Rhinolophus ferrumequinum: one gene and its partners. The protein of the gene in region 1 interacts with the protein of each later gene in a biochemical or structural test. Links are inferred from orthologs where the notes say so. Each region holds a gene or a part of one and is shown in the gene's direction. Other genes may lie near its edges. The genes, in order: ERBIN, RPS6KA1, SMAD3 and PKP4.

Region 1 (7,870 bases):
AAGATTTGAGTGGGGAGGTGGATCAGAGGAAGGTAATAAAGTTGGAAATTATTAGGATGACTATTTGCTGCAGTTGACCCAGGATGTCCTGGTTTTACATTTGTTGTCCCTTTGAAATTGTTATCAATGTCTATTAACTCTCTAAAGTATTCTAGTTTGGATGATACACTATATGAGGGAAGCATAGTATATATTGTCAGTGCATTTTAAAGTGCATTGCTAATAACAGCTAACACTTTTGAGTCTGCAAAGCACTGTGCTAAGCACTTTTTGAGCATTGTCCCATGTAAGTAGTTCTCCGAACAAGCTATGAGGCTGTTAGTATTGTAGTCCCCCAAAAGGTAAGGAAACTCAACTTTGTTTATTATAGATGTTAAAGAACTTGCCCAAGGTCACCAAGCCAAGTTTCTAAGTCAAGCAGTCTTGTTTCAGAGGTCACACAAATAATCACCATGCATTATTTATTTTTTCCACACTTAAAAAAAAAATTGTAAGCCATCTGAAAGAAATTTAATTTTGCTAGGCTACAAAATGTATATGATAGAAAAAAATGTTATCAAGCATATACTAGGGGGAAAAACATCAAAATTTTTTTAAAAAAGTTTTTCACAAATAGAGGCAGACTTCTCTGTGATTCATAAAGTATCATTGAAAATCTCTGAAGGCTGAAACATGCTATAGGAGGGATGATGACATCCCCAAAGTATTATAAAATCCTTAATTTTTGTTCTTGCATGTACTGCCTCTTTTGAGCCCAAGCTCGGTTCCCTGCACACTTGCCACTCTAACCTCTTGCCCTTTCTACCAAGGGGATAAGATGGACGTGAAAATAGGGAAGTCAGTCCCTATGATCTAATTTATCTAATGCTTCTAAACTTTTTTTTGAATCTAACTCTAATCTGGACCAAAGATTAATTTTTCCCCAAATTCTGCGATAAAAACTTCGGTTTTAGGTAACCAATTCTTTACTAGGTGTTGAGGAAGACAGAAAAGAAGAATGATCATCCTAATCTCTTCCTTGTCTCCTGCTTACTGTCTCCATAATGCTTCTGCACAGCTGCTTGACTGTCGTGGGGAAATAACAGGGGGACCTTTTTTAAAGCAGTGGATAGGTGCTCTGCTAAGACACTTTTTCTGATGGATGCTGTGTGCATTCTCTGGAATGCGTTTGGCAAGGTCTTGAAGCTTCCATTCAGATATGTGGCTTTATCTCTAGTAGGCAGTAATTCCTCTCCTGAACCCAGATATTGGGAAGGGAAATCTCAAAGAATTCCCTGTCTTTCACAGACAATTATTTAGAGAATCACAATGTGGAAGATAAAGCTATACTATCAACAAATATTTATTAGCTTACTCTCTAAATTGGTCCTGGAGTTCAGTTAATTATTACAGAATCATGGTTTAGGCAGCCTTGTTTAACGTGGGGTTTCAGTTCTTTTAATCATAATTGAAACTGTTAAGTCCATCTTAAGTTCAACTGTGGGAGGATTTTCAAAGAAAACTAATCTATAAAGCACAGACCAGGAATGCCTTGTAATAAAAAACATGTGGAAGATTTGGCTATATCTGTATGTGCTGTTCATGAGTTGGAACTAAATAGTTGGCAATGAATAACAAAGATGAATTATTAGTCCTGATTATTGACTACCCTGACCATATACCGTGTTCTCCGGAAAAATAAGACCTAACCGAAAAATAAGCCCTAGCGTGATTTTTCAGGATGACATCCCCTGAACATAAGCCCTTGTGCGTCTTTTGGAGCCAAAATTAATATAAGCTCAGTCTTATTTTCGGGGCAACACGGTAGCTGTTATGTCACTTTTCTGTGTGAGCACAGATGAGTATTCCTGAAGATACGTTACAAAGGGATTTTTAAAGAAAAAATAGGTTATATTAACAAGCGCATCCTGTCTTCTATCCTTTTAAGACCAGTGTTTTGGGGATCTTACAGTATGAGTAAGTAGGACTTACATAACAATCAAATGGAATACTTTATTATCTATACTTCTGTTCTCTCCACATTGCCCTCTATTACATTTCCCTCTCCTACATACTCAGCCTCAGCATATGCTGTCTATATTCCTTCCCATCAAAGCTGCTTTAGGGAAACAATCTGATGAGTTAGATATAACTAACTAAAAGGCTTAGAATATTACCTTTCTCAGGATTATGGCTTTGTGATAGAGAAATATGCTAAAAGGAATTAAACTCTAGTGGCAAAATATCAGGTGAATTGGAGAAGGGGTTTTGGGTTATAGGGACTTTTCTAAGCTAAATGGTAATCAGCCTGATCCGTGCCCCAGATCAACTTAAATTTCCAAACAGGCTAGGGTCAGGACAGGTCCTAGCCTAAGGACTGGTCTAGTCCTATTCATTTAGGTTTGGGGTGGGGGCTGTTGGTTTACTAGAATATGATGCCACATTTGAAAGGATCTTGAATCAATCTGAGACGAAATGCATTATCTGTATCCCAAAATCCAGCTGGAGCTGGTATGGGAGATACTGCCACCCTGGGCAGATGGCTTTAGGGCAGTGATCCTTCCAGTTTAGAGCTATACCACTGAGTCTGGTTTGGGTCAGACCCAAACCAGTTGCTGAAAGTGGAATGGGAAATATTTTTTGTGATTAAAAATACAATAGGTTAACTTTAGAATTTATACAATGGCTAAGAGTCATGTTCACATAAAATGGATAACTAGCTTCGTATTACTAGTATACCCTGGTTGCCGTTTCGTTTCCTAGCTTCTAGTGTAATGCTGTCTTACCTCCAGTTCAGCACTGAATTAAGCCTGAACACTTTGGTACTGTGAACCTTCAGCCTCTGCTCTAAGTGAAGGAACTACCTGTGTTAATTTCAGCAGTTCTGGAAGTAGTTAAAATGCTCCCACCCCTAATAGAATGTCTTGAATATCTTTGGAGTTATTTCAAGTCTCAGTAACGTACAACTCTCTTCGGTAAACAATTCTCTGATGGACTTTATGAATTCCTTCTTTTGGATGCAAGCCAAAAATCATCTGTAGGGCATACAGCTCTTTATTCAAACTTGGTAATAAATAATTATCTCTGGAACACAGACGAAGAACTGAAATAGTGACTGCAGGGACACAGAAACTAATTACCATCACTGTACCCAGTTAAATACAGCAGACTGGGGGCGGGGAATGGTTTGTTCCGTATCTGTTACGTTCCTCCTCCGGGTAAAACAAGGCCGTCTTGTCTGTTAACATATTTGAAACAGTAACTGCAAAAACTGTGCAATGTTATGGTTGAGGCGTTTCTGCCATATGTGCTGATAGAAAGCTTAAGTTTCTTTCTGCAATAAACGCAAACCCTGCCAGGCTGAATTATCAGGGCCAGCGCAATTCAACGACTGCACCACCGAAACCACTGGCGGTGGAAGCCTGCGTCGCATTCGGAGTGTATCCAACGTTTCTTCTAACAAAGGCACTATCTCGAGGCAATTTCGCGGGCCGTTTTCCCCCTCCCCTCGCCAGCTTTGTCTCCCCGGCGGGTGAGGCTGAGACTTGGAGGAGCCCCAGCTGCGTTGCTGTGCGAACAAGCTCGGAGCAAGGGCCGGCGTGGGAAGCTCCACGGAGCTGCCGCTGTGGTTTCCTGCAAACTGAGCGTGCCATTAGAGGAAGTTGGAGTGCTGCAGTTGAAAGCGATACCCGCAGTCTTAAAATCGAGCTTGACTTGAACCCTGAGCACCGATAAGTGTCGTACGAAGAAACTCAAGCGACCGATCCAGCGGAGGTCAGCGGGCTCTCCGTCTTCCGGGCCGGGCGCGGAGCAGCCGGGGTCCGCGTCCTAAGCGCCCCCACTTAGGCTGCCGGGGAGCAGCAGACAGGCCTCCCCCTGCCGGGACCAGAGCGGGCCTCACGCGGCGCCTCGCACGCGAAGCCTCGGCCGCCGCCGGCCCCTCCCCCCGACCCCAGCCCCAGCCCCCGGCCGGTCGCCCCCTGCCGCCGCCGACGTCGGCCTGCGCCGCCCCCGCGAGCGGTGACTGGCTCGCGCCGGCCTCCAGCCCAGCTGCCGGCGGTTGGGGTGCAGCCAGCGGGAGGCCGCCCCGCCCCCGCCGCGGAGCCGCGGCGCGCAGCCTCTTCCCCCCGCCTCCTGGCCGCCGGGGCGGTGGCGCCGAAGCCGCGGCGGCCTGTGAGGCAGTAACTCTCCTCCGCCCCAGCCCCCTTCCTCCTCCTTTCTCTCCTCTCCCTGCCTCCCTCCCCTCGCTTCCCCTCCCCTCGCAGTCTCTCGCTCGAGTGAATGTGGCGCGGCGGCGCGGGACGCAGCCTCGGCCCCTGCCGCGGCCCCGCGAGCTCGTGAGGAGACGCAGCCGCCGCCCGCCCCCACCCCCTGCGCTTCCCGGGGGAGCCACCACAGCCGGGGCAGAAGAGGAGGGGAGCGAAGGGCCGGCGGCGGGAAACCGGGAGAGGGCGGAGAAGAGGGTTCGAGGGCAAGTAGGGAAGGCGGAGAGGGACGGCCAGAAGGACGGCCGGCCCGACGGACAGCCCGGGGAGGGGGCCGCCATCGAGCCAGCTCGGCCCCTCGGCTCCGGGTCCCGGCGGCGGCGCGGGCGTAGGGCGCGGCAGGCGCTATCGAGACAATAACCCCGCCGCCCGGCTCTGGGGGCGGCGGCCTAGTGCGGCCAAGGTCCGTCCAGCGTCCCGGCGGCGTCGGTGGCCCCGCCGGCTGGGTACTGTCACCGTCGGGAGTGCGGGGCGCGCGGGTCGCCCCGGGCCAGCGGCTCGCGGCGGACGCCCCCTCCCTGCCCCCTCGGCGCGCGCGGAGCTGGTTTTCCGGGTTCCCCTGGACGGAGCTGGATCCTGCTTCTCGCCAAGGCAGGAAGTGAGTTTCGCACGGTAATTCCGGGCGGTGTCACGAGTGAAAAGTTTTTTTTTTTCGGCGGAGATCCTAGTTGGGGCTGGGAAACTCCTGCAGAACTCGAAGACCAGCCCGCTTCCCAGCCCCCACCGGAGCAGCCTACTCGTCCTGCTGCGGGAGGCCACTCCACATCCGCTCTCACCGTAGAGAAATTCGGCTGGAGCCAAAGTGACTAACGAAGGGAAGGAAATCATGTCTGGCGAAACCTTGAAAAAGCTGCCCTGAGACACTGCCCGACTGAAAGGTAATTATCACGAAAAGTGTCTAGAAGTCACAAAGCTCCTGGGCCAGGAAAGAAAGAATACTTGAATGTTTTTCACTTTCCCCCACGTTGTCCTAATTCTTTTCTAATGTCGAACTGGATAATGTTTCAGGTGCTAAATAGAACTGATTTTTCCCCCCTTCCTACCATCTGGACTCTGGTTATTCTAGAAGAGCTTGTAAGAATGCAGTGGGACGAAAAGTTTTAAGCAATCAGAAGAAAGAGTGCCTTTGTTCAGCGCAAGGTCCAGACGTTTTAGTTTCCCGGAGCATATACAATGTATATTTTTTATTAAGTTGCTGAACCTGGCAACTTTTGTTTTGGAAGGAAGTTAGGTCGCTGCAGCGAGTGATTTGCTGTTGAGATGGCTGCCACATTTGTGTACACTGTTACCAGTTGGGCTTTGGCTTTTAATCGTACAGATATTTTTTTAGTTCAAACCCTTATAAATGTATGTCGTTGGATTTTGTAAACAAAAGAGGTTGCCATTCGTAGTCGTTTTTTCCAGGTAGGTAATATATTTCTTTAGTAACTTGTTTCTTTCAGACATTTAAAACCTTATAATACTTGTTTAATTAATTGAAAGCAAATGACTGCTAGATTTTTCTTGTAACTGAGTGGTGGAAAGAAAAAGGGAGTAAGTGTTAGGGATAAAGAGGGAGTTATAATTAAAAACACACTTGTAAGTTTGATTTGTTAGGACTTCTCTACACTTTAGAACAGAACATAGAGGAAGGGAAGTAAAACGTTTTAAAACGATTTTCATGGGTGTCACATTGTGGTAAATAGATGTGCTTTTTTGTATAGTACAGACAGTCTTTACATTTTTGTGTTGGTCCTAATGTTTTGGCCAGTTCAGCCTAGTAAGTGATAGGTACCTACTGTGGGGGCCGGAATTAGTGAAGCATGGGAAACTTTCCACCAGTCAGAGTTATAAACACTTGTGAACCAATCGGCAGTCTGTATGGATCAAACTAGTTTTGGTCGTAGCAAATACAAAATGTTTCTTTAGTGGTGTCTTTTAAAATTCAATTTTTTCCCCAGTACTTTGTGTTCAAGAGAGGTGACAGATAATACTGTGCTCCTGAATAATTATTAAATGAATGTGGTAGTCTGTTGGTAGGTGTTTCCTAAATATAAATTGTTCGGCTTGTTCATGTTCCATATTACCCCAAGAAAAATTGTCTTCTTTAGTTCAAAGAAGAGAAAGGCAGGTTTGAAAGAGCAAGCTCGAATTATTTCACAACTTGTTCTTTGTTACTTTATTACGTACATTTCAATTCTTGTAACTAATAATATATATAAATATATATTGCTATATATTAGTTGATGTATATTAATATATATAGTAATGCATTGTTTTGATTTTTACCCCCCAGACTTTAGCTTTTGGAGATCTTTTTTTCTTTTAAGTTGCTGGTAAGACTTGTAAACCATCAAGAAATTCCTGTTAAGTCAAAGTAGCTTTATCAGGGAATTTAAGTGCATAACTGATCTACTTTATGATTTTTGGAACGTATCATTAGGCAGTGAAAGGTTATTCTTGGGCATCTGAAAGAGCAGAGCAAAATAAATGGCATTGAACTTCAGTTTCCTTATATGGTTTATACTTGGCTTCAGAGCAACAAAGCCTTAATAGAGCGAGTCTTTTACAGAGAATTATCCTTTTTGAAGATGTTTCTCTGCATTAGTAAATTTTACATATGAAAAGTATTGTAGCACTCAAAAATAACTGCTTAAATCCCATTTTCTAGTTCTTGATTTTTTTTTTTCCTTGAGGGAGCAATAATAGTGTGTTGAGATGCAGACAACACATTTTTTAAAAGCGAGGTGTTCACCTTTGTAGTTGCCTTTAATTCCTTTTTTCCCCTAAACAAGCAAAATTTATTTTGGTTTCCTTAAAATTTTGTTAGTTTAGCACTGGATTAACTTAATGAATATTAGGCTTTATCCATTGCTAAACTATAAGTATTTTCAAAGCCTTGTTTAAAATGTGACAGTGATTTGAAAAAGAGGTTTTAAAAAAAGCGATAATAAATTAAAATATTTTTAAATGATTTCAAATTTTGGATCTTCTTAGTATTGTGTAGGTTTTCTTACATTAAGTTGGCAAGTCTAGAGCATTTCCAACGTTTGCTTATATTGCAAAAAATGCACATTTAATGGCACTGTTTATTAAAGGTACTTAGGAGTTTTCAATAGTGATAAACTTCATCCTTCAACTAATTAATTCAAGTATTATGAAGTCTGTCTGCTGTTTGAGAACAAGGTATTGCAAACTTTGCATGTAGCTTACAGAGATTCAAATATGGAAACCAAATTTTTATTGCATATTTCTTAATGAAGTGTAATTATAGACATTTACACATAACATTGGTAAATCTCTAAAATTCATTTACTTTAAAGATATTGGTACTGAGCTCTTGGTAATAAACACTACTTTTCTTTAATAAACATACTTTACATTTTCAGAAAATTAGGTGCATATTTAGACATTTAAATTATTGCTTATAGATAACATGATTTACAGTTTAAGCTGTTTTGGGCTTAGAAATAGATTATGGCAGTGTTTACAAAGTATTTGGGATAATGCAGAATTTTAGTGGTGTGGATATCAAAGTCATTTTCTTTTTGTAATTGCTATTATCTGGATTTTCTTTAAACATACTTTGATGCTTGCATTTTTACTTTGACTCTTTTCACTTGCCCATCCATTTCTCTCCCTATTAC
Region 2 (7,803 bases), on another chromosome or scaffold:
GAGACTTGGGGTGGGCTATGGGGCAGCAGCCACCTTCCCTATGGAGCTGGAATTTGGCTGGGCTCCGACAGCAGCATTTGGGCAGCTGGAGAGAGAAGTGGGCCTTCCAGCGGGAGAAGAGGCATGAAGAGGACTGGGGTATCATGCGTTCTGAGTTCAGGATCCTGCTCCTTTCCTGTTTGCCTTATAACCTTGGGCAAGTGGTTTGCTCCTCTGAGGCTCAGATGCTTTTCCTGTAGGAGAACAGAGTCCATTCCTCAGGGACGCCCGGCGGAGGAGGGCATGGGATGCCTGTAAATTAAAGACCTAATCTAACAAAGTCTGAGGCACAATGTTGGTATTTAACGCTTGTTTATTTATTTCAAGCAGGAAGGGGGATTTGGGGTTTAGCAGTCATAGTGTGGACAGCAGTCTAGAGTGAGAGCTCCCTGAATCTTTTCAACACCCCAGGTGCACCTGGTGTCCTCAGGCATACTGGAGCTCCATTCACCCTCCCTTCCTGGGGGTGGACTGGGCACCCCAGCTTCCCCCCCCAATCTCCGGAGCTGGACCCCTTTGAAGCGCCTGCAGGTCTATTTTGAGAGCCGAGTGTCTCTCCCCTCCCCTCCTCTCTTCCTGTTTATGAAACCCTGATCCCTCCCGGATCCCTTTTGCTCCCCTGGCTGGAGCACAGGCAGGATGTGACTGGATTTCAGGGAGCCTTGGGAGCCTCAGGTGTTGGGGAGAACTTCCCTTGGACTGGCCAGCGCGGGCTCGCCCACCCTCCCAGAACCTGGGACCCTGTGGCAGGGCTCTATCCTTCTGCCTACCCAGAGGTGACACTACAGCAGTAAGACCTGCCATCTCATCCGGGGGGATGTTCTGTTTACAATGCCCCTTTGCCTCTGTGGCCCATTTTGCTTCTAGAAACAACCTTGTTGAGAGTGGAACATCTCATTTTAACCTCTGTTTTAAAGAGGAAGAAAGTGAGGCTCAGACAGAGAAAGAGTTTGCCTGGAAACACTCAGCTAGTGAGTGGCCAGTGCTTAACTTCCCACCCTGCACTCCTGGCCTCAGCCTCTTGTTCATGCTGGTCTCTGCATGAAGTGCCTTTTCTCGCCTTTCTGCCTGGCCAACTCCTATCCTCTTTAAGTTCCAGTTGTACTGCCACCTCTCTGGAAGGTTCTTGGACCTCACCCCAGGCAGATGGTTACTGCCCCTGGGCACCCACAGCACCTGACGGCAGCTCTCCCTGGACAATTGTGTTTTGTTTTCCTGTATTTATTTTCTGGATCTACCTGAGGTCAACACCGGCGTTAGCCTTAACACGGGCGCCTCCCAGTGTCTGGCTCCTGGCCTGGGGACAGAGCGCGGGAACAGTAGCTACGAGTGATGTCCAAAGGGGAGGCCAGCTGGCCAGCCTTGCAGGGAGGGCAATAATGAAATGGTTAGAAGTGTAGGCTTTGGAAGCAAACAGACTTTGATTTTGGTCTTAGCTCTCCCGCTTTCTAGCCATGTGGACTTGGGCAAGTCACTTTCTCTCTGAGCCTAGTTTCCTCATCTCTGAAATGGGATGACAATACCTCCCTTGGAGCTAAGAAACAGGGCCTGCCAGAATCCACATCAGCAAAGGTTGAAGGAAAGAACATCTTTGTGCAATAAATGCTCAATCTGTAGGAGGTACAATTCTCAGTGTCACTCCATGCCAGTCCTGACCTAGGGCCTGAGGCCAGCTCCCCATCAAGGATGTCTGGGAACTGTGGACCCCTCTTGCCCGGCCCAGAGGCATGCTGGGAGATACGTCTGGGGACATCTGTCTCACCAGAGTGGGCAGCACCTGATAGGCCCTGCAGATGCTGTCAGCTGGGGAAGAAGCTGTTGGTGTCCGTTAGGGCCAGGGATTGGCACGTGGGCTTGCACTGCAGCGAGTGGAAGGAGGCCCAGGGGGGCCCTCGGGACCCAGGATCAGGTCAGGGGGCGCTGGGCTTCTCTTGCAGCTGCCTTGTGGAAGGAAGTACATAAGAGGAAGTATCTTTAGGGAGGAATGGGGCAGGGACCAGGGGATGTGGTCTGGTGCCTGTCCTCCCCTCCTGCCACCCAGAGGCCCCCCCAGGCCCTGCACGTACCCTTCAGTGAAGGCAGTTCGGAGACTGTTTCCTTCCTGTACTCTGTTAGCCACAGAGTCTTCCTTTGATTCTCAGGGTCTCAAGGGTGAGGGGGACCCGGTGGCACAGGACCAGAGAGTTTTGGGGCTCCCAGGGCTGTCCCCATCTCCACACCCCTGCCTGAAGCAGCGGGGGTGCAATGAGAAGCCTCCGTCTAAGCAGGCATCTTTCACAAGCCTGGCAGACCAGCATCACACTGTTACTAGAGGCCCTGCGAGGCCTGGAAGGGGAAGTCCGTGTGTACGTGGGGGCGTGTGTTTCCACACAGGGGATGTCTGTGGAAATCGTTTCCGATCATCGGCTTGTGTGTATTTGTGTGCGTATCAGTTCCGGTGGGTGTACTGGTGTGAGTGACGCGGCGAGGCCACGTAGAAGGGGGCTGGGCCTGGTCAACCCCTGACCCAGGCTACCTGCTCCTCCACTGAGACCTCTGTAGGTCCTTGCTAGGGCTTTCTGCCCATCCCAGGGCGCTGGACTGGCAGGTTCTTCAGGGCAGGGCTGCTATGGTGGTGCCTGTTCTGTGGGCTGCCATTTTGGGTGGGCCCAGCCATGGGGAGGTCACTGCGGGGGGAAGGAGAGTCTGTGCTCTGGGCCGGGGCAGTCAGAGCCCATGGGCTTGCTGACTTCTGCCCTCATTCTCTTAAGGGGATGTTTGCAGCTGCTGGATGCCCACTATGTGAGCCCCTCATCACCTCGTGACTCTGTGTTCTAGTCTCCCCTTTCTCGGGATCAGAGGATACGAGGAGGGGTGTATCCCTGGCCCCACCCCCTGCAGTCATGGCCTTGGGGTCTACCGTGTCCCCTCCTCAGCAGGGAAGCCTGTCCCATCTTCTGTCCCTCCTCTCTGCAGAGGGGGAAGTGAGAAGGAGGGGGTCAGGGACCCTGCCTTCTGGGCCAGGAAGGCTGAAAAAGCAGAAGTGAGGGACTAACGGGGCCCTCTGGCCACTGGCTTGAGCCCCACCATGCAGAGCCCGGCAGATCTCCCCTGGGTGGGGAGAGATCCACTCCCCTGTCCCAGAAAGGTGAGCAGAGGGTTCCCTGCCTCCACTGGTGTCTGTCATCATGACTCTGGGCAAGGAATAGGTTTGGGGGTGACTCTTTCCCCTGGGGTTTCCGGGTGACTGGCTCTGTCTCCAGGGAGTATTCTCAGCCAGAGACAGACAGGTGGAGGCTCAGACCGCAGGGTTTGGGGACGGGGGTTGCTGTGTGGCCTTGGCCCACCGCAGCCCCTCTCTGAGCCAGGCTTTCTGCCTGTCCCCCCTGGGGTTACACTCAGGAGCCTGATTAGCGTGCAGCTTTTAGTGGCTGCAGCTTTTTGTGGCTGTTCAGGGTCCCCTGAGGATGTGTCTGTGTCTGTGAGGGTCGATATCTAGAATGAGAAGTCCCCGGACTGACCCTAGTACCGAGGGAGGGGGCGGGCTGGAAGGGCTGGACATGGCTCCGGCTGACTTACCTACCCACCCTTTCCTGGCACTTGAGGCCTCCCAATCGCAGGTCAAGCAATAGCCAGGGGAAGGACTTGGGTTCAAGCTGGCTCTGCCTCCAGTGCACTTTGAGCCTGGGTGAGTCACTGTGCTCTGGACCTCAATTTCCTGTTCCCGAAATGGGCACAACTGCTTTTGGGATATTTGGATGAGAGTCAGAGCCATCAGATTGCACTCAGATATCCCGCTTGGCCTACTTTCGTAGTCCAGGGCCCCCCTTCAGGACCTGGCATGGGAAGAACATTCCAAAGAAATGGAAGACCTCAGAGATGGGTCTGCCACAAATACTGGACTGTTCTCCCAAGTGCTGAGGGTTTGCAGGCGACATCCCCTCACCTCTTTCCTCACCCCCAGGTAGACCAGCTCTGCCTTTGAGTTCGGGGTCCGACTTTTTGGGTGTCCAGGTGTCTTTCCTGCCTATGTGTCTGTCTGCTTGGGCCTCACTGACTGGCAGTCTCTGTTTGCTGCCCACCTGCCTCTGGCTTCTGTTGGGCTCCTGTGTCTGTCTGTACTTGATGAGTGCCTGTCTTCACCTGTTGGGTACATGTCACGTGTTAGGTGTCTGTTGGTTCGTGTCCCCTTATGTCTCTGCCTATTGAGTATGTGTCCCCATCTGTCTCCACCTGTTGGATGCAAGCCCCCATCTGCCTCTGCCTGTTGGGTCCCCATCTGTCTCTGACTGTCGGGTACATGTCCCCATCTGTCTTTGCCTGTTGGATATGTGTTCCCGTTTGCCTCAGCAGGTTGGGTATGAGTCTCTGTCCACCTCTGCCTGTCAGGTATGAGTCCCCTCCTGCCTCTGCTTGTGGGTACCTGTCCCCATCTGTCTCCGCCTGTTGGATATGTGTTCTTTCTACCTCTGCCTGTTGGGCATGTGTACACTCCTTCCTCTGCCTGTTGGATGCCCACCTTCATCTGTCTTTATCTGTTGGGAGCCGGTCTCTGCCTGTGGGGTGCCTATCTGCTCCTCAGCAGCTGGGTTGGTATGGGGCTTTCCCTTTGCAGGCCCACAGGGGATGCAGAGGGCAGCCTTCAGGCAATGGGGACAGGGGAAGAGAGAGGAAAGGAACGTGGTGAGGGTGTAGGCTTGGAGCGAGGAAACCACAGGCCCTGCGTGATTGGTGGCCCGGGCCCAGCCCCCGCCCTCACTCTGCACATCCGCCTCGGGCCGGCCACCTCCGAGGCAGCCCCGGACGCTGCCTGCTCCTGCCATGGTGCCTTGGCCCTGCCGGGCGGATGGAGCAGGATCCCAAGCCGCCCCGTCTGCGGCTCTGGGCCCTGCTCCCCTGGCTGCCCAGGAAGCAGCGGCCCAGGATCAGCCAGACTGCTCTGCCTGCCCCTGGCCCTGGCTCTGGCCCCAGGCGGGACTCGGTGAGTGTGCCCGGATGAGCTGGCCTGCCTGTGGCCCTTGGAGCAGGTGCCTGGGCAGCCAGTGTGGCCTCAGCTGTCTTTGGGCTCTCCTAGCCCAGGCCTGGCCCTGCTGGACGACTGGACCCTACCCAGACCTGCTCCCTGGGGGAGTGAGGAGGCACTCAGGGGTCCAGGGAGTGACACCGGTAGACCGGAGGGAGGGCAGAGGGCGAGGGGTCCTAGGACAACTGGGACCTGAAGAGCGGTTTTTAGTAGACTTGTATGAAGGAACTTTCAGAGGGTGGGGCATGGAGTCTGGCCTTAGCTCCTACCTGCCCCAGACTGGCACTTACTGGGTTGGGGGTAGTCTCAGGTGCCTCTTGGGTCCCTAAGCATCTCAGCTCTGTCCTTCTGGCCAAAAGGATCCCGTCATCCATCCTGTCCAGGAACAAAAACCCAGCTTTGCCTCCCCAGTGTGAGAATAAACCCTACTTCCTATTGTGGCAAAACCAAAACTTGACAGCAGGGGGAGGGGAGGACCTGGGGCTGGTCTGTGGGCCTCAGCCAGAGCCTGCAGTTGGCTCAGCTTGGCCAGCCTGGCCATGCCTGGGCATCCCTTTGGGTGTGACCAGGCCGGAGCATCAGGAACAATAGGAGCAGAGACACCTTAGTAGTTTGACCCCCTCTGGCCTGTGAGGCCCTTTGGTATTGATGAACCTGGAGGCTGGCCCTGTCGGGGCAGCTGTCTGGTTGGGCCTGCAGGGCCCCGTCTACTGAGATCTGGTGTGAGTGGACTTGGATGGGGGACATTCCCCATGCTGGCCTGGATGGGGCCCACGTGCCCACCTGCTGTGTTCCTCCATCAGGATGAGGGTGTCCTCAAGGAGATCTCCATCACGCACCATGTGAAGGCTGGCTCTGAGAAGGCTGACCCATCCCATTTCGAGCTGCTCAAGGTTCTGGGCCAGGGATCCTTTGGCAAAGTAAGTCCTGATCCCACAGTTGGGAGGGAAACAGTGGTCATACCAGAGGTGGGGTGAGAGTTCACTGTGGGGCTCAAAGTACCAGAGGGCAAGGGTTGATGGGGCTCAAGGCAGGACAGGAGGTCACCTTGGTACCCAGGGAGGGCAAAAGGTCAAGGTGGGACTCAGGGAAGTTGGAGGGCAGCTTGGGACCTGGAGGGTGGGAGCTGATGGGCTCAGTCCTCTCCGCAGCTTCTCCTCTGCTTTTCCCGTGCTGCCTTCTCAGGTCTTCCTGGTGCGGAAAGTTACCCGGCCCGACAGTGGGCACCTGTACGCCATGAAGGTACTAAAGAAGGCAACGCTGAAAGGTGAGTGGAGGACACCTCCTCAGGCAGAGCCCAGGGCAGCACAGGACCAAGTGAGATGGCCCAGCTGTCCAGGGCCTTAAGTCTGATGCAGGAGAGAGCTCAGTCTCCAGGAGTGCCTGGTCTGAAGGTGGAGACACTGGCCTGTTCTCAGCTGTCCCTTACTACCCACCACCCCTCCTTATGATGAAGACAGGGTCCAGTCAGAAGAAAAGATCTCCAGGGTTAACTGCACCCCGCGCCCACCCCCACCGCCAAGCCAAGTGCCAGTATGTAGTCTGGAAGGAGGTGGGAGCAGGGGTGCAGTATGTTTGTGTTGGAGGCCTTCAGACATCAGGTTTCAGGCTGGTTGGGCAGAGGCCCCTCTCAGCAGAGTTGCTTCACAATGTTACAAGAGTCTGAGGGAGACCTCAGAGTGGAGAAGGGTGTGAGCAAAGAGGCAGGGAGCCCAGGGAGGCGGTTGCGTGGGTAGGAGAGGTAGTCAAGGCGGGTCCATGGAGATGGATGGCAGAGAGGTTCGGAGGGAGCCCGAGTCCAGGCCTGGAATTCCAGGACTTCCAAAGGGCATGAGGGTGATTGGGAGTAGCCTTTGTGCTGGGCAGTGACTCTGAGCAGCCTGGGAACCAGACTGGCCACTGACCAGGCTGGGGTGAGGTGGGGAGAATTGGAAGTGTTGGCCTTGGGGACATTAGGAGTCATGTGGCCCATGAAGGGGCATCTGTGGGGTGATGTAGCTTTGGTGCCCCAATGCCAGCCTGGTAGGGGTAGGAGTCATTCCTCAGCAGGGACAGTGGGAGCCATGGGGAAAGAGAAAGATGAAAAGACTTGGTCCCTGCTTTGAAGGGCTCCCGTGGGGCTGGAGAGGCAAGGCAGACCTTGCAGGGTGTTGCAATTGGCGCTGCGACTGGGGAGCCCAGGGAAGGTGGGTGCAGCCTCCCAGTGGGGTCGGCTCACATAAGGAGTAACCATTTGAGCTGTGTCTTGAAGGATGAGTTGGGAGTTCTCCAGATTGAAGATGGTAGAGGAAGGGTACCCCAGGATGGAGGAATTGTTTCCCTTAGCAAAAGTGTAAGGGCAGTTTGAACATGTAAGGTTTAGTTGGGAAACAGTGACTAGAATAGTTAACTACAGTGTGGTCCCTGCCATGTCTGGTGAGGGAAACAGAAACGTTAAACTAGCATGTAAAAGGTGCTCCGAAGGGGAAAGCACAGCCCTGTAAGAAAGAGCATCCTGACTCAGCATGGCAGGTTAAGGAAGACTTCCTGGAGGAGGTGAGGCCTAAACTGAGTCAAAGAAGAACCTGCTGATATCAAATTGCCTGAGGACTTTTATTCTCTAAAAACATGTGTGTGTGTGGTGGGGTGGGGGGTGCCTACTCAGACCCATGAATCTGAATTTGAGACCCAGGGAATCTGCCTTTCTAACTAGCTCTCCAAGTGACTGTTCTCACCAGCCCCCAGACTGGAATTGGAGAGTTTTATGGCAGATGGAGAAAAGG
Region 3 (7,674 bases), on another chromosome or scaffold:
GACAACGCTCTGTGTCACACATTGCTTCTGGTATGGCGATTTCTGTCACATAAAAACACTATTGTATGTCCTCATCCATCTATTTACCGGATCTGGCACCATGCAACTTCTGGCTCTTCTCCAAAGTCAAAATGACCATGAAAGGAAAATTTTTTGAATTGATTCAGGACATCGAGGCAGCCACGACAGCACAAGACACTCACGAAAGAGGACTTCCAGAACTGCTTCAGAAAGTGGCAAGAATGATGGGATAAGTGTGTTCAAAGTGAGGGAGAGTATTTTGAAGGATATTAATGTGTCTTTTATTGTAATACATCTTTTAAAATTTAAACATTCATCGTATTTTATGATTACACCTCGTATCCCACATTTTGTTTACCCATTCATCCATCAAGAGACACTTGGTTTGTTTCCCCCTTTTGGCTATCATGAATAATGGTATTATGAACATGGGTATACAAATATCTGTTTGAGTCCCTGCTTTTGCTTCTTTTGGGTATATACCCAGAAGCAGAGTTGCTGATCAAGTAGTAATTCTATGTTTAATTTTTTGAGGACCCAACATACCATTTTCCACAGTGGCTGCATCATTTTATATTCCCACACGCAATGCAGAAGGGTTCCAATTTCTCCACATCTCACCAACTCTTGTTATTTTCTGTTTTACATATATACAGAGAGTGCCAAAAAAAAAAAGTCTACGCATTCTAAGAACGGAAAACACTTTATTAAAATTATAATACTCAATATATACCAATAACCAAAGATGAATACAAGTCGTGTGTATATTGATGGCCATCCTAATGGGTGTGAAGTGGTTCAATGTGTATCTTTTTGTTTATATGATTTGTTTCACAACATATATTGTTATTTTGGTTATATGTAATTTTTCACATGAGTAGCATAGTTTTTTACTTCATTCTCTGTGTTACTATTTTCATTTTTGGAACTGTTTTTAAGATCAGTCCCTTTATTTTGTGTACACAGAACTTATTGCTTCTAACTTTTGCATTGTGCTCTATGGCATAGAATACTGAAAACGTACTGTGGGCTTATGGCAAGCTCTCTACATGGGTTATTTGAGTCCTTACAGCAACCCTAAGAGGTAGGTGTTATTATTATTCCCATTATACGGATGAGGAAACTGACACACAGGGAGTTGAGGGACTTGCCCCAAGTCACACAGCTAGAAGTGGTAGAACTAGTTTAACTCAGATCTGTCTGGTGCCTCTGGAGAGTTCACGTGTATAAGCTGCTATATATAGAAAGAGGTCTGGCTGGAGACTGTGGCTCTCTCTTAGGTGAGGGCACACTGATGAGAGTTCTAGTCCTGGCAGAGTCCTAACGTATCTCTAGACGTATCACCTCCCTTCACCAGATGTCACTTTATGTCTGTGTCACATGAAGACAGGACCATTTTAATGCTTTTTCTAGATTCACAACTTGTTGATGAAACACCCTTTCGCCAATGGAAAAATAATCAGAATTGAAGTCAGGTGTTTGTTTCCTTCCACTGTTCTACCTGGGAGCTGCTCCAAACACATGAAAACCCTTTGGCAAGTCCGCTTACGTGGTTCCTCCCTGATAGGACTAACTATTCCCAGGGAAATGGAGTCGCAGCCTCCGGCCCCATCCCGCCTCTCTTGAACTTTGCACCTACCGTGATGAAAAATTAACCGGGCTAATGTTTCCCTTCCAAGGACAACTTCTGCAAAGGCCCGGGCCTGGGAGACCAGGCTCCAGAACAGAATTCCTATCCACCTGGAGCCGCCAACCCACTCACGGCCCAAGTCAAGGGCGCACGCAGGGTCCTCTTAGCACCTGGAGCAATCCAGTCATCAGCCCTCCTCACTGCTTTGTGAAACTGGGCTTATTCCCTCAACTCTCTTCCTGTGGAGAAACTGAGGCTAGAGGAGAAAGAATTAGCCCAGCAACGGTACTTGTTGGACTCGCATGTGGATCCAGCACTGTTTTTCTGCATGTACAGCTGTCCCAGTCACATGGATGCCAGCATACGAAGGAAGTTCAGGAAAGCATGGTTAGTTACACTAACTAGCGGCTATTTCTTCCTCTCAGGAAAATGACAGGACTGAATGAGGCCCCTTCCAATGTCATGACTTTAGAGGGTTAGGTACATACCAGATCCTTCCACTACATATAATCCTCAGATCTCTTTTAGGCTCTTTACCTCCACAGTGCAAATCGCCTCCTTTCATCAGACATCTCTTCTACCAGTGTAAAATGAGGGACTTGCATTGGAGGAGAACAATTTTAAAGCTCTTTCTAGATACACCACTCTGCACAGTAAGGACCGTTCCCTCCATCCTTACCGTTGAGAGAACAGGTGCTCATGGGGTGAAAGGAGGGAGAGAGCCAGGATTGAAAGCCCAGCCAGTCGTTGATGGAGCTTGAAGACCTTTGTCTTTATCCGACTGCCTTTCAACAGTTGGACCTGCTTGATTTGATTCCGGTGAATATTGTATTACTGGGATATGACGAATGCAATGGCTCCTTTCGACCAGACACACACCTCCCACCCCTTCATGCTTCTCTAGGCCTTGAGCTGGTTGAGGTTAGGGAAGCTTCATTTTTCATTTCCCAGAAATGAGTGCATGTCTAACTGACCTGGGCTCCGTCACCCGCACCACTCTTCATGGCCTTAGCAGTGGCCCCAAGGTGGGGTTCCTCTCATTTACAACATTTGACTGTTTGCAAAGCTTTTCATGTTAGAGTCCCACGACCACCCTGGGAGGTTGAGAGGAAAGCTACTTCTAGCCCCATTTTACAGGTGAGCAAACATTTCTTGGAGTGTGACAATAGCGTGACTGTGTAAAGAACTTTTGTTTTGCAAAGAGCTCTATCAATGATGTCATCTTTGCCTTCCACAACTATAATAAGGCTGGGTGCAGTGGCAAGAGTGCGGACTGAGGCCTCACAAAGCACGGGGTTCAGATCCCAGCTCTTCTGGTTGGAATCCCGAGTGAGTATTGTAATCTCTCTGCAAATGGGAGGCCTAGGAACGTCTACCTCAACGGCTATTGCGAAGATTAAATCAGAGGACAGCACTTGGGTACCTGGAATGAAGAAAGCCATCTGTGGATTGCCTTCCTTCGCTTTTTTGATGAGAGCTGGGAAGTGGGGAGTGAAACCTAAGGCTTACAGCGGCTTTGGGTTAGCCAGAGGACCAGCCAGGAAGAGTAAGCAGGTACTTAAGCCCCAGGTGGGGTTCAGGGGTTCTCTTTTAAGGTCCTTGTAGTGGGGACTTAGGACAGAAGTGTGAAGAGCCAGGCTCAGCAGCAGCCGAAGCAGCCAACAGGCTTGTGGGAGGCCGTTCTCTCTGACAAGGCAGGGACCCCTGCAGCTTCTGGGCCAACTTTGTGGATTCTGCCCTACCTCACAGGGCTCTGTAACTCCCCAGGCCTGAAGGTTTGCAGATAACTTCTTTCTCACTCCGGGGGGTTTCCTGCTGTTAAAAACAAAGGCCTTAAACACCAGGCTACAGGCATGGTAGGGGAGGGGCTGCAGGAGAAAGGCCCTGGGGGCCTGGGATGACTAACTCCTGAAAGAGGCTGAGGGCTTTGTGGGCAGATGCCCATGAATTCTGCTAGTGGGGAGTAAAGCCCCAAAGTTCCTCAATAGCCTGGTGTTTCAATGCCTCCCACCAAGGCTAACTTTGAATATATAAACTATCCGAGTACTCCCCTTCTGCTCTACTTTTTGCGAGTTCACAGCTTTGGAAACAAAGCTCTCTCTCCATCTATTTATTGGGTGTCGAATTTCGGATCTTACTGTATCATAAGATTCCAAACACCCGGTTATGTTTCCTCTGAAAGAGACATTCTAAAGCACCCCCGTTCCTTACTTCTTGAACTCAGGAGATGTCTTTGAGGCTTATTTTCTACCGGGCACTCAATTCGCAAGGGCCCCCTAGCTCCAGCTATTATTCAGGGAGTCACTGGGGTCCCCAAAAGTCCACTTTTGAATCCCAGTTCTCCCGCCTCCCAACTCCCTCCTTTGCACCTAGTTTCGGGGCTTTCAGCCAGTGTGATCTCAAAATTGAAAGAATGAAAACAGCTCTCGGGTCGCCAGCGCCGGCCAAGGGCCCTGACCCGGACCAGCGCTCGCGCGTGCAAGTGTGCGCCCCGACTTCCTGGGACTCGGCTTTCGGTGCGCCCTCTCTCGGACCAGGGCCCTCCCAGGGGTGCACCGCCAGCCTTTGGCTGTACGGCGCTCATTCTCTGCGAATCTAACCCTCTCGGGCCCGCAACTTCAACTGAGCTTCCTGAGTGTGGGTTCCGCGCCGGGGGCCCCTCTCGCGGCTCCTTTCCCACGACTTCCTCCAGGCGCCGGCCGGACTCAGGTCGGGGCCGCGCGGGGTCCTGCGCGCTCCAGCCAGGGCCGCCGCTGTCCGGGATCGCCCACGTGGGCGTGCTCCAGGCCGGGCGGGGGAGATCGGGCGCCCTCCCGGAGGCTGGGGGCGGGCAGGGCGCCCGGGGGAGGAGGTGGCGGGGAGCGGGGGAGGGAGCGGGGGAGAAGGCGGGGAGCCCCGGCGGCAAGGGGGCGGTGACAGCGCTTGGAAAGGAGGCTGCACGCGGATTTGCATGAAACACAGACTGGGAGCGGGCGGGAGCGGGAGCGGGAGCGCGGCGCACCGCCCGGGCCGGCCCAGCGAGCGAGCGAGCGAGCGGGGAAGGAGGAGGGTAGCTGGGAGGCGAGGCTGCTGAGTCGGAGGCATCTGCGCATCAAAGCGATCGAGGCGAGCAAAGTTTGGGTGGGGGTTGGACTTTCCTTCCTGGAGGCGGCACCCAAACAGCCACCCCGTGCGGAAACCCAAACTTTCTTCTGCCACTCCGAGGCTCGCGGCTGCAGCCTCCGCCCCGCGTTCGGGGCCTGGCCGACCCGGCGCCGCAGTCGTCCTCCCGCCCGCTTCCCCCACCGTCCTTCTCAACGCCGTGGGAGCCCCGCAGGCTGCAGTGCCGAGGCCCGGCCCGGAGCGCCGGCAAGTTCGCCGAGAGTTGACGCGAAGTTTGGGCAGCCCCGGCCCAGCTCCCTTCTGCGCCCCCGGCGTCCCGCCGCGCCCAGCCCCGCCGGGGGCGCCCCTCGCCGCCCGCGCGTCCTCCCCAGCCATGTCGTCCATCCTGCCCTTCACCCCCCCGATCGTGAAGCGCCTGCTGGGCTGGAAGAAGGGCGAGCAGAACGGGCAGGAGGAGAAGTGGTGCGAGAAGGCGGTCAAGAGTTTGGTCAAGAAGCTCAAGAAGACGGGGCAGCTGGATGAACTGGAGAAGGCCATCACCACGCAGAACGTCAACACCAAGTGCATCACTATTCCCAGGTGGGGGCCCGAGCGACCCCGGGGGCGCGCTGGCCCAGACCCCTGGCGCGGCGGGGACGGCCGGGTGGGGTTGGAGCGGGAGGGGTGTGTGTGTGTGTGTGTGTGCGTGTGTGTGTGTGTGTATGTGTGTGTTGTGTAAGGGGAGGTGGGAGTGCGGACAGAAAGGAGACCCTGAACAAAACCTTCTCTGCATTCGCAGATTAAGAGCCTGGGGTTTCCACGCGGCATTCTCACGCCAGACCTCACATTTCGCTTTTCACCTCAGGGAAAGAGGGGTACTGCTGGAATTGTCCGCCCCCACACCGGGGAGCTGCGGGCTCAAAGTTGAGGCCCGCTTTGTTCAGCTCCGCGGGCCAGAGCCCCTCCTCCGCCGCCGCCTCCCGCCCCCGCGGCCCGCGCTCGTGGAGGTGGTGGTGTCTCTCCCTTTCTTTTCTTCAGTCCTGTCCCCCCACGTCTTTCCTCGTCAACAGGAATGCAGTCGGTACAGCTGGGGCTGTGGGTGAGGAGCGGGAGCTTCGTGATTGACAGATTCCTTCTTCGTTCTCTCTTTGCCTTCGGGATTAGCATTTTTATCGAGTATTTTTAGACTTGGTTGTGCCAGTCTCCCGCCCCCTCTGCACACATTCACTTTGGTTGCAGTGCAATGCTGACTTTCAAATGAGAGACAAGTGGCAGAGAGTAGGGTCTTCTCCCCTGCCTCCTGAGACTGCTTTTTGCCCTCCTTTCAGTCTGAGACTGCGGGTTGATGCAGAACAGAGAGTGCTTGGAGCTGAGGAGATAACAAAACTCACCCCAAAGTGGGCCTCGAAGCGGCCCTTGCATTCCTGCAGAGCCCTCCTTCCTAAAGCGCTTTGCCATCTGCCTGGACCTCCTTTATCCGCCACCACACGCTAGCTAGCGGGGTTAGGAGGGAGCTCACAGATGGCTGATAGAAGGGGTCAGTGACTTCACTCCCCAGGGCCTTCTCTTAGTTTAGCTGTGCCTGGATGGAAATTGGGGTATGAGGGGACACCTTGGCCTCTTGTCTCTTCCTCTCAGCCCCCTCTAAAGTCTGACTCTGCACCAAAGGAGTGTGTGTGTGTGTGTGTCCTTGGGGTCCCAGGCTGCAGAGGCATGAGTAGAGTGTTCCTAGGACCTGAGTCCCACAGAGATTGTCATCCTTACTCGTGGGCCAGCAGTGGTCCCCATCCTTGGCCACCTGCTTGGGGCAGCTGTACAAGGGCTGCCAGCCGTGTCAGGCAGGCACAAAGCAACATCTGTCCCTGGGAACCCAGGGCAGGCCTTCTCTGGAAATAAATGCCACATATGGTGGGAGAGCTGACTTAAAAAATAATAATTTTTTTTTAACTGGGTGGATCCAGTCAATAAAGGGGGAGGGAAGGCGGTGTACTGTCTGGGAAGTGCGCTCTGGGCGTGTGATCCGAAGCCAGAACTGACTTCAGAGGAGGTGGTGTGATGTGATGGTCACTGAGCCCTGGGTTCTGGTCCCAGCTCTGGTTCTTCATTCTTCTTTACTCCTTTAGTCGGGGGTGGGTGGGTGGGTGGGTGAGTAGGGTGAATGAGTGATGAATGTCCTACTTCTGCCTGGGGAGGGGTTTGTGAGACCTGCCCTCTTACCTGTCCAGGAGCAGTAAGGACAAGTGCCTTGTGCCTTGAAACAGAAGGGGAAAAAAAAGGTATCAATTATAAAACAAGCAGCTGTGTAAAGTGTTTTACAGTTTACAGAGCACTTTCACATGGTGTTATGAAATCAAGAAAGAAAGAAACTCCTGGAAAAGAGATAAGGCAATTAGGCTTAAGGTTTATCTCATTTGTAAAGTCGAGAAAACTTTGGAGAAGAGGTGAAAATGCTTGCTATTGTAGACATGGGATTCTGACCCAATGTGCTCCTTTTCCTACCCCATGCTGCTATTTCCTTTGAAGGTTCTGAATAGTTCTTTGCTGAATGCTGAATGCTGAAGCACTATTAAGGAGACCAGGGGTGGATGGAGAGGTGGAGGGCAGTGTGGATTTATGTTGGTAAGTTTGCCAATGTTCAGTCTGTGTGCTGGTGACAGCCTGGAGGAGAGGGCTTGCTTTTTCCCCTGCCTTGGTAAAAGTTTGCCCTCTGGGGGAACCTAGCTATGGCCTGCTTTTCCTTCTTTTACAGTTGTCTGCAGCTTGAGGCATATGAATGCTTTGAATATTTCTGAGTGTTCAAGCTAACTTGCCCCCTGGCTTTCTCATGACCTGTTAGGACTGGGGGCTTCTACTACCTGCCTGGCAAGGACTGGTAAGGCAGACTTTTTTTTTTTTTTTTTTTGTCTTTTCTCAGTTAGGGAAACCCAGTTGCTTGGGTGGAT
Region 4 (7,687 bases), on another chromosome or scaffold:
GTAATACATCATCTATATATCACATTGTGTGTCACCCCATTACATTTTAATTTTAAAAAAAGAAAGAAACAGAAATCTTATGGAATAAAAAATGAAGTTTACTCTGCTTTCATGGGTAGAATAGTAACCCAGAAAACATCAAGACCAAGGCAGTTGCTCTCTCTGGCTGTCTTGTTCTCAATTCCAAATTCCCAGGAGAAAAATCTGATCGGCACTGTTACAGGTTGTGGGTCAATTGTCAGCCTATGAATTGGCTACATTTAAATCAGGTCCCCATCAAGGCTGGTACCATGGGCCAGATGGAAGATCATGAGCCCATGCAGGGCTACCTACTGCAAGGGTTGTGGAGATAAATACCTGGAAACACGTCTGTTATATCTACCAGATGTTGATGCCTCTCTGATTTTATGAAGTTGTTAAATTCTCAGGATTGTACTGTGTTCAAAAAAGACAGAACATCTTGAATGTTTCAAATGGAAAAAATGTAGGTAACCCTTATTTAACCTGTTTGACAAAGCTGAGTTTCAACTGTTTTCCCCCCATGCACAGAATTTTATAGCCTTAGCTCTGAATATAACTTGATGCCAAAGCACGTCAGTCCTTTTCACATAGGTCCCCTCCCTCATAGAGGGGTCCAAGTAAGTCCCGGTTGAGGTAAGATCTGAGGCCTTTCTCTCTTTGGAGGCTACATGGCAAAAACCTCTACTCCACTCTGCCACACATTACCTCACTTTTCCACTTTGGAACTCTGGTCCCATCTTTTTCTAATTACCTCCCAATATTACCGATTCTAATTTTTCATTATTGGAAGGTCAATTCTGCTAAGGACTAAATAAAAGGTTTAATGAATGTTGGCTTTTCTTAGTGTGAGAAACACTTCCGTAGTCTAAGGCACTGTGATATAGTCATGACCATGATATGTACCCTATTCTAGGAGAGAAAGCTCACAGAGATAAGTATAACATTGGATACAGAGTGTTAAGTGCCACCGTAATATGTTAAAGCAGAAATCATCCTCTCCACCGAGGGGTGAGGTCAGGAAATTTTCAGAAAAATCTTTACAGGTAACTATTGGGCTGGGCTCAAAGGGCAGGGGAGGATTTACATATTCAGAGAACGGGCTGGAGGTGAGGCATGGCCAATTCTGAAATCTAGAGCAGAAATTCTAAACTCTAGGATCTCTTTTTAGGACCAGTTTATTTCATTGCTTTCTTTCCTTAATTTGCACCCTGTATGTTTTAACATTTCTTTTAAAAATAAAAAAAAACAAAAAACCCAGTAGCAGCTATCAGTGTACATTTTGAAGTTATTATCTTCAATGCCTTCACCTTCTCTATATACATCCAAACTGAGAAGATAAGGTGTTCCTGCTCCCCCCTTTTCCTTGCGGCCTCTGTTAATATGAAAACAACAAACATTGGAAAGTTACAAAGTTTTCATAATCATGAAACGTTCAGGTTGACTTCTTTCTGGGATGGTCACTAAAATGTTCCCTTGGATTTGCTGTTTACATTTGTTCTTAAGGGTGGAGCTCACCAAACTCCTTCCTTCTTTCCAACATTTCTAACTTGCCCTAGGCCCCAGTCAGCCTGAGCAGAGACTCCTCTTTCTTTTTTCTAATCTGATTTGCCCTAGGCCCCTCTTCCCACTCTTAATTACTAGGAGTTAGTCCCACACAGGTAGTGCAGCTAACAAGTAAAGCTCACCTTCTCAGGTACATTTGCATTTCTATGGACCCTCAGGGTGGGAGACAATGGTTTCTCACCTTCACTGGAAATCTTGAATTCAGGCACTGCAATTTGCAAGTAAACAACACTTTTGTAGGAGAAACCTTTATGCAAAATGAGTTAGGATTTTGAATCTTCAGAATCATTTTGGTTATATTCAAGGGCCAGAATATTGAGGGTGATAAAAATAGAAGCCCTGAGAAATTCCCTTCAGACTGTTTCTTGGTGAAAGGAATGGCCAACAGATAGAGATGGAGGTAGGACAGAAGGAAGGTGGTTTTATAAAAAGTCAGATACTTAAGGCACAGTGAAAAAAATATTAAAGGATGGAACACATGACCAAAGACAGAAATTATAATCAGCAGAGCAACATCCTGGAGGAGGAAGAAGAAGAATGACCCATGTTTAGGAGCACAAGTGGAGCATGAGCTTAGAAGAGAAGTATAGACACCCCTTCTCAGCCAGGACTGAAGGAAGTGATGAAGTTTAAAAATTGAAACTGAGGTCTAGGAAAGTTAAATTGAGGAAGCTCGTGGTGGATGCCTCAGTCAAAGAAAAGGCAAAATCATTTGCAGAACTAGAAGACCAAGTACAGTGGGAGCTTAAGGACAGCAGAAATAGGACAGGTTTGGGAGAAGTGCCTTGGATAATGTCCCTAGATAAGCATCCTTGATAATTGATCACCCTACTGATGAGGAAAGGAATTTAGAGAAACAGTGAAGACCCAGCCAAGTATGGATAGCATAAACTTATAGTGGAATAAAATTTCTTAACCTTATCTAGTAGTTCAACAGCAAGTTCAAAAGAAACTTTTCAACAATTATGAAAAGAATAATGTTGAATGAAAACATTTTAGGTGACAATAATCATGGTGGATTTTAGTAACGTTTTAATCATTACAAACTTGAAATACATAATACCAAAACACTCTTCAAACATGTGACCTGGGAAAAATACAAGAAAATTATTGGAGTAAAAAAATGAATTGGTTCTTGTTTTATTTTTTCCATGCTAGCCTAAGGCAAGAAAAAGGGATACATATATCAATTTTTTTTCTTTTCATTAGACTCATCTCCCTTTCATCTAATAGTATTTTTTTTAAAAACACTAAATCATTGGTATCGTGTTAGTGCATTAAAAATAAGTCTTATTTATATAAAAATTGCATTTTACCTTTTCTATTCTCCTATAAACAAACACAAAAGAAAGCCAGAAATAAAAAGCATGATGATCTAATTTCCATGATGGCAAAGCATGAGATAGCATTCCATAGCCCCTGGTGATTCCTTCCCAATTCTGAAACTAGGGGGAACACTCACATGTTCAGTTGTTTTGTTCTGCAGTCCAACCCTGCATAGGATTGTCAACTAAGTTGAAATATTACTACAAATTGTGAGAGATATTTTTCCAATCAAAGCACCACATTAATAATTTCTATCTATGTTTGTAATCTTCAACTACAGTAAGATAAAAAACAACAGCAAAGCATATTACCAACTTAAAGTTCTGGACAGTAGGTAGACATATAGTTTGCTGAAGCATTAATCCGTTTCTCTCAACAAAATACTCGTAATTTCCAAAATCCTATTAGCTTTCTTTAACAATATGGTCAGCCCCAACTGGAGGGGCAGTAACATACACAGTCTTCTTACTAAAGAGATTGGTATAAAAAAATAGCAAAACCACCAAAAGAAGGAACCTAAGAATATTAGTGGCTATATGATAGAGCAATATAATGCTTAAAAGCCTAATATATTCATGAAGTCTCATTTTAGGAGCCAGTATCTAAATATGAAAATTATTTACCAAAAACAGTTGGTATTGACAAACAAGCACAACGTAACTTTAAATAAAAGATGAGATTTGTTAAAAGATCAAGATTTTTGTGTGTACCGATTCCATGGCTCAGTGTTGTTGTTGTTTTCTTCCATCAAATTTAGACATCATCTGGAAAATACCCTGAAAACAAAATCCATCAACTGTAATCTATTTCCTTCACTCTCTTGTGAAATCATTAGAAACACGGATTGACTCTGTCACCTGTCTTCCCCACCCTGTAACCTCTTAAGGGAAAGAGCAAACATCTGTCAGCTCATAGTGCAGAAAGCACACACAGATAGGTGTTTAATAAATATCCTTCAACACAGAGATTAGAGGATTGCTTCGGGAAGCAGGGAACACATTATCTTCTGTGTTGAGCTTATGACATACAATATGTCAGTTTCCTTATCGAACTATCATCCAAAGGAAATCCTTTTTGAATCTCCTTTATGTAGGGCTGTAAGTTTGAAGACCCAAAAATTAGAGGCAAGATCCGCCCTAGGCAAGGAGTGGTTGGGAAGAACAAGTAGAATTCAGGAGTTTCAGTGACGTCAGGAGGAAGCAGCGATTTAAGGGGTGGGGAGCAAACTCACCTGGAGAAGCAGAAGCTGCACTCATATCTCTAGGGTCAATGGGCATAGCCTCAGGGGCTCCCCAGACGCGGGAAAAGAGAACGACCTCCAAGGCTCTCACCTTCAAGGATTGGGGCTCAGCTGTTCCTGCCTTTGACGCCAGGAACAAACCCTACCTTTCACTGCTGGAGCTGACAGAAAGGCAAAGCAAAAGCTACGCCAAATGTTAAAGCCAGCTCCCGGGAATCCCCCTGTACTTCTTTCCCCCACCCCCCTCCGGCGCCCAAAGCCACCGACACCTTCCCTCTCACTCTCCACCTTCTCCAGGCCCTCACGCTCTTAACAGCATCGGTCTCTATGGCAACCTGAAACCGCAGTTCCCATTGGCCCGTTCAATATGAGGGCCGGGCCAATAGGGAGGGCCAGCCTTTTCCTTCCGACCAATGGGGTTGGCGGGGAGCCGGTCTGGGGACGGCGGCGTGCTGACGTTCCCGGGAGCCCAGGGCTGGCTGGGCAGGCGGGCTAGCGGCTGGGCGGGCGGCGGCGGCCTCTGGGCAGCAGAGGGGGCTCCGGGGCTGAGTCTGTGTCGTTGCCGGCCGCAGAGGCGGCACCATGGGCACCGGGTAGAGGGGCAAGTTGGCCACCGCCGCCGCCGGGGGTGGTGGGAGAGCCGCTTCGGGGGAGGGGGCGGGTGGGGGAGGGAGGGGCGGGCAGCCGCTCCGCCACGGCACTTTTTTAATTTTTCGGGTGCCGTAGGGGCGACCCCTCGGCATTGCTGTCCCTGATCCCCGGAGCGACGACGGCCGCTGCCTGACCTGGAAAGTAAGTGTGCGGGCTCTCTGGAGAGCGCGGAGACTCCTGCCCACGAGACCCCCGGCCCTCGGCCCCTCGCGCCCCAGCCGGGACCTGCCTGCGAGGGGCACGGTGGGGGGACGGGCGCCTCCCTCCCGTTACTCCGTCCCCACCGCCTCGCGGCCGCCTTGGCTTTCCTGCCCCGCCTCGTGTTCCTGCCCGCACTCGCCTGCCTGCTCCCCTCCCCCCGGCAGGCGCACAAGTTTCACCCTCCATTTGCTTTTCCCGGTGATTCCTCTCCTCGGGTCTCCCCTACATACCGCGCGTGACCCCTCCCCACCTTGGCCTTTTCTCATCCAGAGCGCCCAGCCCTGAACTGGAGCGCCACGCCGAGCCCTCCTGGACGTCTGCCGGGAGGTTCCCCAGCTCCTGCCCGCCTGGCACGCCGCCCCGCGCCCCCAACACCCCGAGGCGCCCGCCTTCCCCAGCTTTCGGAGCCGTCTGTCCATCCCTCCCGCCCCAGATCTTGCATCCTGGCTCTCTCCCCTCCCTCCCACGCCCCTGCTGCCGCGCGGTCTCGCGTTTGCCCCCGGAGCCCCGCACTCCAGCGGGTCCTGCCCACCCGGCTCTGTCCAGTGCGCCCTTCTTTGCTCGCGGCGTTTGCTCACGCTCCACCCCTCCCGGTTCCCCAGCTCCGAGCTTCCCTGGCTATCCTCCTGCGCCGCCGCTTCCTCCTTTCCCTGCCAGTAGTTGAAGTGGAGCTGCGGCACCTCCCTGGCGGATCGGGTGTCCCTGCCCGGCGCTGGGGCTGCCCGGCCCTCTCCTTTTTACCCCCTACCGGGGAAGCGAGGGGGTGAGCCGCGGGGCCGGGGTTTGGCTGCATGTTGGCTGAGTGCGACAAACAGCGAGCGCGGGCACTGGAAGCGCCGCGGCGGCCGTGGCCGCTTGGGGAGCAGCAATAGGCAGGTGTCTGTGTCCGGGGGGGACGCACGCCGCGGGCTCGTCGGCTGGCGACAGATTGTGCAGGAATGCGAGGAATGCACCAGGGGCATAGTCCAGAGGGCCCGCCGCGGCTGCACTAGAGCCTTCCTGGCCCAGCTCCGGCCGCGCAGTCAGAGGTCACCGGAGCATCTTTGGAGCTGGTGAGGCTCGCTTCACTCCTCTCCTCCCCTTGCCTCTTCATGCGGCAGAGAGGGCGGCGGAGGGGAAGCGCGGCAGTTCTGTTGGGCTTCATCTAGCCTTTCGTTTGGGTTTTTGCTGCATTGGTCTCCAGGACCGTGAATTTGGGGCCAGTGGCAGTGTAGCTAAGGTTATTGATCACTGCACACGGTTCTTGGCAAGTTTGGTTTGCAAGGTTTTAATTGTGCCTGGTTTTTCCGGGGGTTTTATGAAAACCTGCAGGAAAGGGTGCAGAAGGTTCTTAGAGTAATGAGCTTGCAGCCAACGTTTTTTAGCTCTATCAAAAAATGTCTGTTAATGCTCATGGACTGCGATGTACTGCAAAAGAGATCTTGAATGCATCGCTTTGCTGTCATAAGAATTGGAATTTTTCTTGTCATACTGGGCTGTGTTTAGACCTCTTATAATATATAATGAGTAGAAACAGAGAAGCAGTGTTTGGTCAGCGATGGGACAGATAGAACTGTCTGGTACAGTTAAATTCGGGGCGTGTCAGTTACCATTGAAAGTAACACGGGGACAACACAATCATGTATATTTAAAGATGTAATTTATTAGTGGAGGTCGCAGCTTTTTGTTTTTTTTTTTCTGAGTTTGAAAAAAAATTAACACAGCCCTACAACTTTTAAAGAATGGTAATTATTATTGTGTAAAATCAATAATGATCAGTATACATTTTTGGTCAAATTTTATTTTCCTTAATGAAGAAAAGCAAATTTTTGACAGAAGATAATTTTCTAGAATTGATCTTAGATTCTTTTATTTTAAAAGGGAAGGTAGAAGACTGCTTCTCTTTTTCAATGCAATATGTTGCTATAGAAGTATCTTTTTGATGCCTGTGTAACAGTTATGGAAAATGGCAACCTGAAATGAGAACAACCGGTGTTTAAAACAAGTGTTTCTGATGTTGAAAAGCATACAATGTGTGCTTTTATTTGACACAGTTTGCTTTGGAGGTTGAGTTTACTATAAGCCTCTCCAAACTTGGTTATTTTGTATCAGATTCAGGAATATAAATTGGTTGTCTAGCTGTCTTCCAGCACTCACTTTGGGTGGATCAAGGGCATTCAAAAGTATAAGATGAGCACCTTTTAGTTAAGGACCTAATGGAAAGGAGAAATAGAAAAGGAAAAAAAACTGCACTGGGAAAGGTTGTGTGTTTTGGCTACTACATTGTTTTTCAGGTATGTCCATAATATGTAGACCTTCTAATTTAGAGGTTGAACTCTTAATTAGAGTTAGCAACACTGTAGGATATTGGAAGGTGTTTGTAGATGCCAACAGGAAACTTGTTATGTAACAATATCATATTACAGCAGAGTTTAACACGTGCTTATTTGATTTGATGGGAAGATTAGAAGTAAAAGCACATTTAGTTTCTGTTACACTAGAAATTGAAGTAGCCCATTCAATATATAGATAATGCATATGCAGGATTGGCTGTACAAGTAAAGTTTTACCCATTCAAGTAAAGGTAGGCTTTCAGTTAGAAATGTATTCTATTGTTATAGATATTTGAAGAGAGGAAGTTTTTAAACAGGTGATAATCCACAATTGAAAACAACATGTACTGTGTTTTGACTAAGTACATTCCTT

Evidence for each region.
Region 2: the proteins of ERBIN (region 1) and RPS6KA1 interact in a test that uses a peptide from one of them, tested with the Homo sapiens proteins (2 studies listed by BioGRID and IntAct). The link is inferred for Rhinolophus ferrumequinum from reciprocal best matches to the Homo sapiens genes ERBIN and RPS6KA1.
Region 3: the proteins of ERBIN (region 1) and SMAD3 form a complex in vitro, tested with the Homo sapiens proteins (2 studies listed by BioGRID). The link is inferred for Rhinolophus ferrumequinum from reciprocal best matches to the Homo sapiens genes ERBIN and SMAD3.
Region 4: the proteins of ERBIN (region 1) and PKP4 form a complex in vitro, tested with the Homo sapiens proteins (4 studies listed by BioGRID and IntAct, with this or other methods). The link is inferred for Rhinolophus ferrumequinum from reciprocal best matches to the Homo sapiens genes ERBIN and PKP4.

The regions. Positions count from the first base shown.
Region 1 is NC_046290.1:42,188,319-42,196,188, forward strand, and holds the start of ERBIN (erbin), read left to right. Parts: upstream 1-4,859; 5' UTR 4,860-5,122; intron 5,123-7,870. UniProt on the Homo sapiens protein: Acts as an adapter for the receptor ERBB2, in epithelia. By binding the unphosphorylated 'Tyr-1248' of receptor ERBB2, it may contribute to stabilize this unphosphorylated state.
Region 2 is NC_046292.1:18,178,043-18,185,845, forward strand, and holds the start of RPS6KA1 (ribosomal protein S6 kinase alpha-1), read left to right. Parts: upstream 1-4,797; 5' UTR 4,798-4,864; coding exon 4,865-4,999; intron 5,000-5,844; coding exon 5,845-5,961; intron 5,962-6,226; coding exon 6,227-6,308; intron 6,309-7,803. UniProt on the Homo sapiens protein: Serine/threonine-protein kinase that acts downstream of ERK (MAPK1/ERK2 and MAPK3/ERK1) signaling and mediates mitogenic and stress-induced activation of the transcription factors CREB1, ETV1/ER81 and NR4A1/NUR77, regulates translation through RPS6 and EIF4B phosphorylation, and mediates cellular proliferation, survival, and differentiation by modulating mTOR signaling and repressing pro-apoptotic function of BAD and DAPK1.
Region 3 is NC_046289.1:44,064,719-44,072,392, reverse strand, and holds the start of SMAD3 (mothers against decapentaplegic homolog 3), read left to right. Parts: upstream 1-4,661; 5' UTR 4,662-5,126; coding exon 5,127-5,332; intron 5,333-7,583; exon of another isoform or gene 7,584-7,604; intron 7,605-7,674. UniProt on the Homo sapiens protein: Receptor-regulated SMAD (R-SMAD) that is an intracellular signal transducer and transcriptional modulator activated by TGF-beta (transforming growth factor) and activin type 1 receptor kinases.
Region 4 is NC_046291.1:63,589,898-63,597,584, reverse strand, and holds the start of PKP4 (plakophilin-4), read left to right. Parts: upstream 1-4,681; 5' UTR 4,682-4,942; intron 4,943-5,635; exon of another isoform or gene 5,636-6,054; intron 6,055-7,687. UniProt on the Homo sapiens protein: Plays a role as a regulator of Rho activity during cytokinesis. May play a role in junctional plaques.